Linked DNA regions of Kluyveromyces lactis. The protein of the gene in region 1 purifies or fractionates together with the protein of each later gene. This does not show direct contact. Links are inferred from orthologs where the notes say so. Each region holds a gene or a part of one and is shown in the gene's direction. Other genes may lie near its edges.

The links. The genes of interacting proteins can lie anywhere in the genome.
Region 2: the proteins of NAT1 (region 1) and ASC1 purify together in Saccharomyces cerevisiae (affinity purification with mass spectrometry; 4 studies listed by BioGRID). This does not show direct contact. The link is inferred for Kluyveromyces lactis from reciprocal best matches to the Saccharomyces cerevisiae genes NAT1 and ASC1.

What each region holds. Positions count from the first base shown.
Region 1 is NC_006042.1:787,626-791,854, reverse strand, and holds NAT1 (peptide alpha-N-acetyltransferase complex A subunit NAT1), read left to right. Parts: upstream 1-1,375; coding exon 1,376-3,889; downstream 3,890-4,229. Other genes in the region: U2 snRNP complex subunit CUS1, read left to right, coding at 1-996; GAL7 (UDP-glucose:hexose-1-phosphate uridylyltransferase), read right to left, coding at 4,001-4,229. UniProt on the Saccharomyces cerevisiae protein: Non-catalytic component of the NatA N-terminal acetyltransferase, which catalyzes acetylation of proteins beginning with Met-Ser, Met-Gly and Met-Ala.
Region 2 is NC_006041.1:1,085,390-1,088,819, forward strand, and holds ASC1 (40S ribosomal protein RACK1), read left to right. Parts: upstream 1-1,388; coding exon 1,389-1,940; intron 1,941-2,081; exon of another isoform or gene 2,082-2,173; intron 2,174-2,340; coding exon 2,341-2,769; downstream 2,770-3,430. Other genes in the region: APL2 (Apl2p), read right to left, coding at 1-739; HEK2 (Hek2p), read left to right, coding at 3,421-3,430. UniProt on the Saccharomyces cerevisiae protein: Component of the ribosome, a large ribonucleoprotein complex responsible for the synthesis of proteins in the cell.

The sequences.
Region 1 (4,229 bases):
TATTTCAATGCAGCTATAAAGACAACACATAATACAGTGGGGATCCCCAGACATTGGCAAATGAAAAGAGGTTATTTATCTGGACGATCAATGATGGAAAGGAAGCCATTTCAATTACCTGAGATTATTAGACAAACCGATATTGAAACGATGCGAGAGACTGTTCCCTCTGGAAACGAAAAGCAAGCAGAGAAATTGAAGGATATTACCAGAGCAAAAGTTCAACCCAAGCTAGGTGTATTAGATCTAGATTATAAAAGGTTGTACGAAGCATTTTTCACTTTGGGAAAGAATTGGAAACCTGAACTATTGTCATTTGGTGATTTATATTATGAAAACAGAAGTTTGGATAGTGAACTCGAATGGAAACAAATAAAGACACGATATAGACCAGGGTATCTATCGGAAACTTTAAGGGAGGCATTAAATCTCACGGAGGGGATGCTCCCGCCTTGGTGTCATGAAATGAATAGATTAGGACTACCCAAATCATACCCTGGTATGAAAGTCTGTGGAATAAATTGGGAAATCTCTAATCTTACCGGTACACAATACGGATACTACCCTGAAGATACTTTGAGAATACCCAAACAAAACTTATTCGGAGCCATGTTCTCATTTGAAGAATTAGAAGATCAAGACGCACATATTGATCCAGATCCGTTGAACGAATCAATTTCCGACGATGAGGTGTCTTCAGACGCCAATGAAGCGGAAGCAACAAAAACAGAAAGCGAGACACATGAAAACAATAATTCAGGCTTAGTGCCAATTGATGGAGGCTCTGTAGTCAACCAGCACTATGATGAAAATAGACCCTTATTTACTGTTCTAACGGAAGCTAAATCAAACGAAGTCGACGGATCTACAATAATCAGTTCCACTACCTCTTACAATATTACGAACAAACGATCAACAAGCGTAGAGGAGAAGGACGATGATAATGTCTTACATAAAAAACAGAAAGTGGAAGAAGAGCCTGACTTCCGTTTTTGATCTTTACATTAACTCGTTAGAAACCCTACGTTTCAAAAGTGTCAGCTGTTTCCCTTTAATTACGTAAAATATTTGTAAATGTGAGTATGTAACTATATCAAAAGTATCATTGGATTGCAACATGTTTTAACTTTATTGCAGTAGGTGAGTAATAAACTCCTTGAATCGTACCAGCTCCGCTTGCTAACTATTACCTTCAGTTCGTTCAAACCCAAACATTTCATTTTCAATGTATCTCTAAACTGAAAAATTTACAATAGTCAACGTCTAAATCATGAAAATTATCAAGTTCAACAATCATATTCATGACTGAATAAATGGAGAAACACTCTTACTGGCTTGCTTATCTACACTCAGCGACCCATTGATCTACACTAGCATGTATAAAAAAAAGGGACTATCTCACGGGAAAGTGGGACTTCCAATTGGTAGGTCTAAGGATGACAGCAATATGTTGGAAGCACTGCAACTATATGAAGGTAAAAATTACAAGAAGTCGTTGAAGATCTTGGACACAATCTTGAAGAAGAACAGCAGTCATGTGGACTCTATAATTTTGAAGGGATTGAACTTGCAATTCTGTAGTACACCTGAAGAAGCTGCTAGTTACATTGATAAAGCGTTATCCAAAATTAAAGGCACTCTTGTAAGTCCAATTGGTGGACACTTATTAGGAATTTATTACAGACAGGTGAAAAATTACTCAGACGCTGTAAAGTGGTTCAAGGCCGCATTAGAAAATGGTTCTACAAACACTCAAATCTATAGAGATTTGGCGACATTGCAATCTCAAATTCATGATTTCAAAGGCGCGCTGGAATCGAGAAAAAAGTACTGGGAAAACTACAGAGGATATCGTGCCAATTGGACCTCATTGGCCATAGCACAAGATTTGAATGGGCGTACGCAAGACGCAATCAATACTCTTTCGACATTTGAAGAGCTTGCTGAAGGCAAGTTGGGTGAACCAGAAATGTATGAGAACAACGAATGTATCATGTACAAGAATGATCTTTTGTACAAGAAGGCAGGCAACGATAAAGAATCCTTGGAAAGAGTTTTAGAGCATTTGGAAAAGATTTCCGACGATGTTTATGATAGATATGGCTGGTTAGAGAGGAAAGCTTCTATTTTAATGAAACTTGGTCGGTCTAAGGAAGCCTCTATTGTGTACAGAACTTTGATTAAGAGAAGTCCAGACAATTTCAGATATTACAGGCTATTGGAAGTTTCACTTGGAATTCAAGGAAATGAGAAGTTGAGGAAAGCTTTATATGAAAAGTTGGCTATATTTTACCCTAAATCGGAGCCTCCTAAATTCATTCCGCTCACATTCCTCAAAGATAAGGTAGAATTAACCGCGAAACTCAATGATTATATCATAACGCAGTTAAATCGCGGTGTTCCAGCCACATTCAATAACATCAAACCTCTTTACAAGAAGGAAGGTATTCCGGATATTGTTGAAAGTATTGTATTACCTTATTATGCTGAGCTATCATCGACTGATCAACCAATCCAATTTGTTTGGACAACTTACTTTTTGGCTCTACATTATTTGCATAGAAAGCAGTTCGAGCAGGCTAATGCATATGCTGACAAAGCAATGAACCACACTCCAACTCTTGTTGAGGTATATATTCTCAAGTCCAGAGTCCTGAAGCATTTGGGGCTATTGGAAGAAGCTTCAGAAGTTATTGATAAAGGTCGCGAACTTGACCTGCAAGATAGATTTATTAATGCAAAGACTGTAAAATACATGTTAAGAGCTGATAAAATTGATGAGGCTACTAAGATCGTGTCATTGTTTACCAAAAACGACCAATCTCCAAATGGTGTACCAGATTTACACCTCCTAGAAGCCTCTTGGTTCATTATCGAACAAGCTGAGAGCTTCTTCAGATTGTATAAAAAATCTTGCAAGGAATTAATCGGCTTGAAGAATAAAGATATAACTGCACTTACCGTTGATGAGATAGAATCTCATGGAAAACTTCTAAAAGAATTGGAATTCAATGTTAATAAGTTTGAGGGCCTTTCTTTAAAACGTTATATGGCAATTCCTAAGATTTACAAGCAATTTGAGGATGATCAATTAGATTTCCACTCCTATTGTATGAGAAAAGGGACACCAAGAGCCTACGTGAATATGCTTGAATGGGGAAACCACCTCTATACTTTGCCTATGTTTATTAGGGCTATGGAAGGTGCTTCAAGGATAATTTTCGGAAGATTTGATTCTTTGCAACTAACTGCATCAGTTGAACAAGAGCATGATGACAGTTCTATCAAGAAGAAGACCAACAAAAAGGCCAAAAAAGAAGCTGCTGCTTTGAATAAAAAGAAGGAAGAAGAAAAGGCCAAGTATCTTGCCTACCTTGATGACAAGGATCCATTTGGTGAAACTTTACTCAATGATCCAAATCCTTTGGAATTATTCGAGAATCAATTTTTGAAACTATATTTATCCCAAACCACTGATGATACGAGAAGACATTTGCTGGAATTTGAATTCCATTTGAGAACTGGTAAGCTAGCTTTGGCTCTGGGCGCACTCACAAAATATGTTAAGTTAAATGGTAAAGATTCTGTTGCAGCAAGTATGGCATTGGTGCTTTTAGAGAACACAAAAGACTCTTATCCACATGATGTCATAGCCAAGAAAGTCGCCATTAAGGGTATAGAAAAGGAATTCCCTGATCTGTTGTCAGAATCTGGCGATAAGGTACAATTTGTAACATGCACATATGGCAAAACCTTGCCATCATTGTTGATACTTTATCATCATTCGAGTGAGTCCATTCCAGAACCAGAAATTAAAGAAGACATCATTTCTGTTCTAGACAACGAAGATCCTGTCGTTCAGCATTCAATATTAGAATATGAATTTTAAGTAACGTTAGGTAGGATCTAAAAGCTTACGAATGTGACTAAGTTTGGAAATTTTATGTGAGTATAACTTGTAAATAAGTTTTCCTATACGGATATTTTCTGCTTTGCCTGCTCAAGTTTTGCTTTCTTCCTGCTCAAGTTTTGCTAAATAATGTACTTCACCACTTAGGGCTTTGAGTCTATCTGCTGCTTGTTCAGCAGTCAAATCTCTTTGTGGTTGTCCTAATAACTCGAACCCTACTAAGAACTTTCTCACAGTGGCCGATCTTAGCAATGGTGGATAGAAATGCATATGGAACCAAGCGGCTTTCAATTCTCCTTCGGTAGCGTTGAGAGAGGCT
Region 2 (3,430 bases), on another chromosome or scaffold:
GGTCAATTGGTTTGTGTTCGCTCAATGACTCCAAAATAGTGATTCTTGCCCATTCTGTACATTCGTTCAACACGTTCAAAAACCTCTTAACGTTTTGAGATACTAATTTCTTGATATCTATTGAACCAGGGTCCAATTCGTTAATTTCGTGCAGTGCGGCAAGCGCGTTGGCAACAACCATTGGATTATCGTCAGACAAAGCGTCTTGCAAATCGTTCAATACGCCCAATTCACGGCATAGGTCCGGGTTCAATTGGAACAATTTTGCAACGCATAGTACCGCGGTTCTTCTCACGTACGGATTATCATCGACTAGAGTCTTTCTTAGCGGAATCTCAATGTATTCCAAGATCTTATCAACTCTGATCATCGACATGGTACGGATTGCCATAGACCTAATCAATGGGTTCGGATCAGCTGCATCGCTGACGAATGTGTTCACGACAAGGATGCATAACTCCGGATGAGTTTCTGCATAATTAGCCACGTAAAGGTATACCAATTTCTTCTGTTCAATGTCTTGAGTGGCTATATTCTTCAAAACGTCGGGAAACAAAGATGAAACATCTTTGCCGGAAGTCATCTGTTGAATAATCTTACGGATCGCGTCCTTTCGGGTCTGTGGGTACTGAGATACTAATCCATTTCGTAGTTCAAACAATTCACCTTTATTGGAAATCTTAGGAGCCACTCGTATGGCGTCTCTTAAGAACTTCTTGATCTTCTTATCAACACCCATTGTTTCCCTTGGTATTTATGAGAAAGCAGAGCAAGCAATTGGCTGGAGGAAGGAAGACTAATCGCTTGGGGACAGAGTCTTGAATATAAACAGGTTCATCTATTTATATACAGATTCCAGTTAATTTGATTGATGTTTTCTATGAATACTGGAAAGTGAAAGCTTGCTGGCGAGGTCACGTGTGTGCTCACGTGTATCGGAAGATTCCGTAACCCGGACATCATATGATGTCCGGGTTACGGTATTGAGAGATCTCACTTCCTAATAAGAATGGTTACTACCTGATTAGGGAAATTGCTAAGGGAGATTCACACTTCTGCGTAAATTCTTACGCACCGCAGTGTGGTGTACTGATATACCCGACTTTTTATAAAAACACAGTCCTCAGAGTTGCCAGACCAAAAGATACGCGCGACACCCTTACACCATTCAGCGTACCACTCAGCACGCACCACGCACATTGAAAAAAAATTCTTTTCTAGCCAAAGCTCATCACTTGAATATTGAGAAAGTATTAAGAACTTGATATAACTTGCAAGAGTTTACTGCATTAGTATTAAGCTATCAGTTCTTGTTGATTGAAATTGTTATCTATTCTCTTCTTTTGATTCATCAGAACAACACATCTCAAGGAATTAACTGAAAAGAAATGTCTTCCAGCAATATTATGCTTGTTTTGAGAGGTACCCTAGAAGGTCACAACGGCTGGGTCACCTCTTTGTCTACCTCTGCTGCTCAACCAAACTTGTTGGTTTCTGGTTCCAGAGATAAGACTTTGATCTCCTGGAGATTGACCGAAAACGAACAACAATTCGGTGTCCCAGTTAGATCTTACAAGGGTCACTCTCACATCGTTCAAGATGTTGTTGTCTCTGCTGACGGTAACTACGCCGTTTCTGCTTCTTGGGATAAGACCTTGAGATTGTGGAACTTGGCTACTGGTAACTCTGAAGCTAGATTTGTTGGTCACACCGGTGATGTTTTGTCCGTTGCCATTGATGCTAACTCTTCTAAGATTATCTCTGCTTCCAGAGATAAGACCATCAGAGTTTGGAACACTGTCGGTGACTGTGCCTACGTCTTGTTGGGTCACACCGACTGGGTTACCAAGGTCAGAGTTGCTCCAAAGAACTTGGAAGACGGTGAAGTCGATGACGGTAGAATCACTTTCGTTTCTGCTGGTATGGACAAGATCGTTAGAGTATGTGCCAGACTTTTTTCTTTTATTGCATTGCATTGCATTGCCTATCTCCCGATTAGATTGATTTACCTTGGAATTCAGGTCCTCAGTTGTTTCCCCGTAATATATTCTCAAAATACATGGCTCAATTCACTATACTATGACAAATGATGTTTCTTATATTTGCTACTTCAGACGTAACCTTACATGGTTTCGAATGAGACATACTAATTATCACCAAGATCTCTGATGTCTTTTTAATTAGTGAATTAAAATTTTGAATTGAGTTTTGTGCATTTGAATATCATGGAGCGAGCAATTTGGGCCTGTATTCCCAGATATATCTCATGGCTTTGAACCAAATATCATTTTTACTAACAATATTTTGGGAATTATCTTCCATTCCCCTTATTAACTACAGTCCTGGTCTTTGAACGAAGACTCTTACAGAATCGAAGCTGATTTCATCGGTCACAACAACTACATCAACGTTGTTCAACCATCCCCAGATGGATCTCTAGCTGCTTCTGCTGGTAAGGACGGTCAAATCTACGTCTGGAACTTGAAGCACAAGAGCGCCTTCATGAACTTCGACGCTAAGGACGAAGTCTTTGCTTTGGCCTTCTCTCCATCCAGATTCTGGTTGACCGCTGCTACTGCTTCTGGTATCAAGATCTACGACTTGGAAAACGAAGTCTTGATCGACGAATTGAAGCCAGAATTTGCTGGTTACACCAAGGCTCAAGACCCACACGCCGTTTCTTTGGCTTGGTCTGCTGATGGTCAAACTTTGTTCGCCGGTTACACCGACAACGTCATCAGAGTTTGGCAAGTCATGACCGCCAACTAAGTTGTAGCAATTTAAAATCTCTTAATTTTGCTTTTATTCCCTACAATTTATTCTTGGTCGTCGTCATTACCAATAAATCATAACATAAATCCCTTATGTATATATTAGTTATACAAAAACTTACATTATAATATTAGATCTCCCCTCGGTTAATCTGTCTTATAAGAGTTCCGATATTGTTATCTTAGCTTATTATTATGTTTTCAATGGTTTCTACCTATACATGCATAATATGCATTTCGGTTAGGCAAAACCGTGGCACAGGGCTATTCCAAGGGCAACCCGGTACCTTAGCTTCCCTTTCTTCATATCACCCTTTCTTTCTCTCTCTTCCTGGCGAAAACGCAGAAACTCGTACTCTATCTATAATGGCAATTCTATTTACTTTTTGAACTTTTACCGTTCACTTTAAACCTCTTTGCAAAATATTCCGTTTCAATTAAAATTTTTCATATTAACAAACTTAAACTTACATTAGCTTAGGTTGGACTGGACTTGGTTCTTCTACTGCTCATATTGTTTTTGTGTATTCAGATTATATTTGCTACTGTAAATTGTAAATTGTAAATTAAACCATTTGTTTCTTTGTTCGTTTTAAAAGGTACAAGAATATCACTCTAATATTTACAGGACAGATCATATCCAAAAATTATGTCATCTT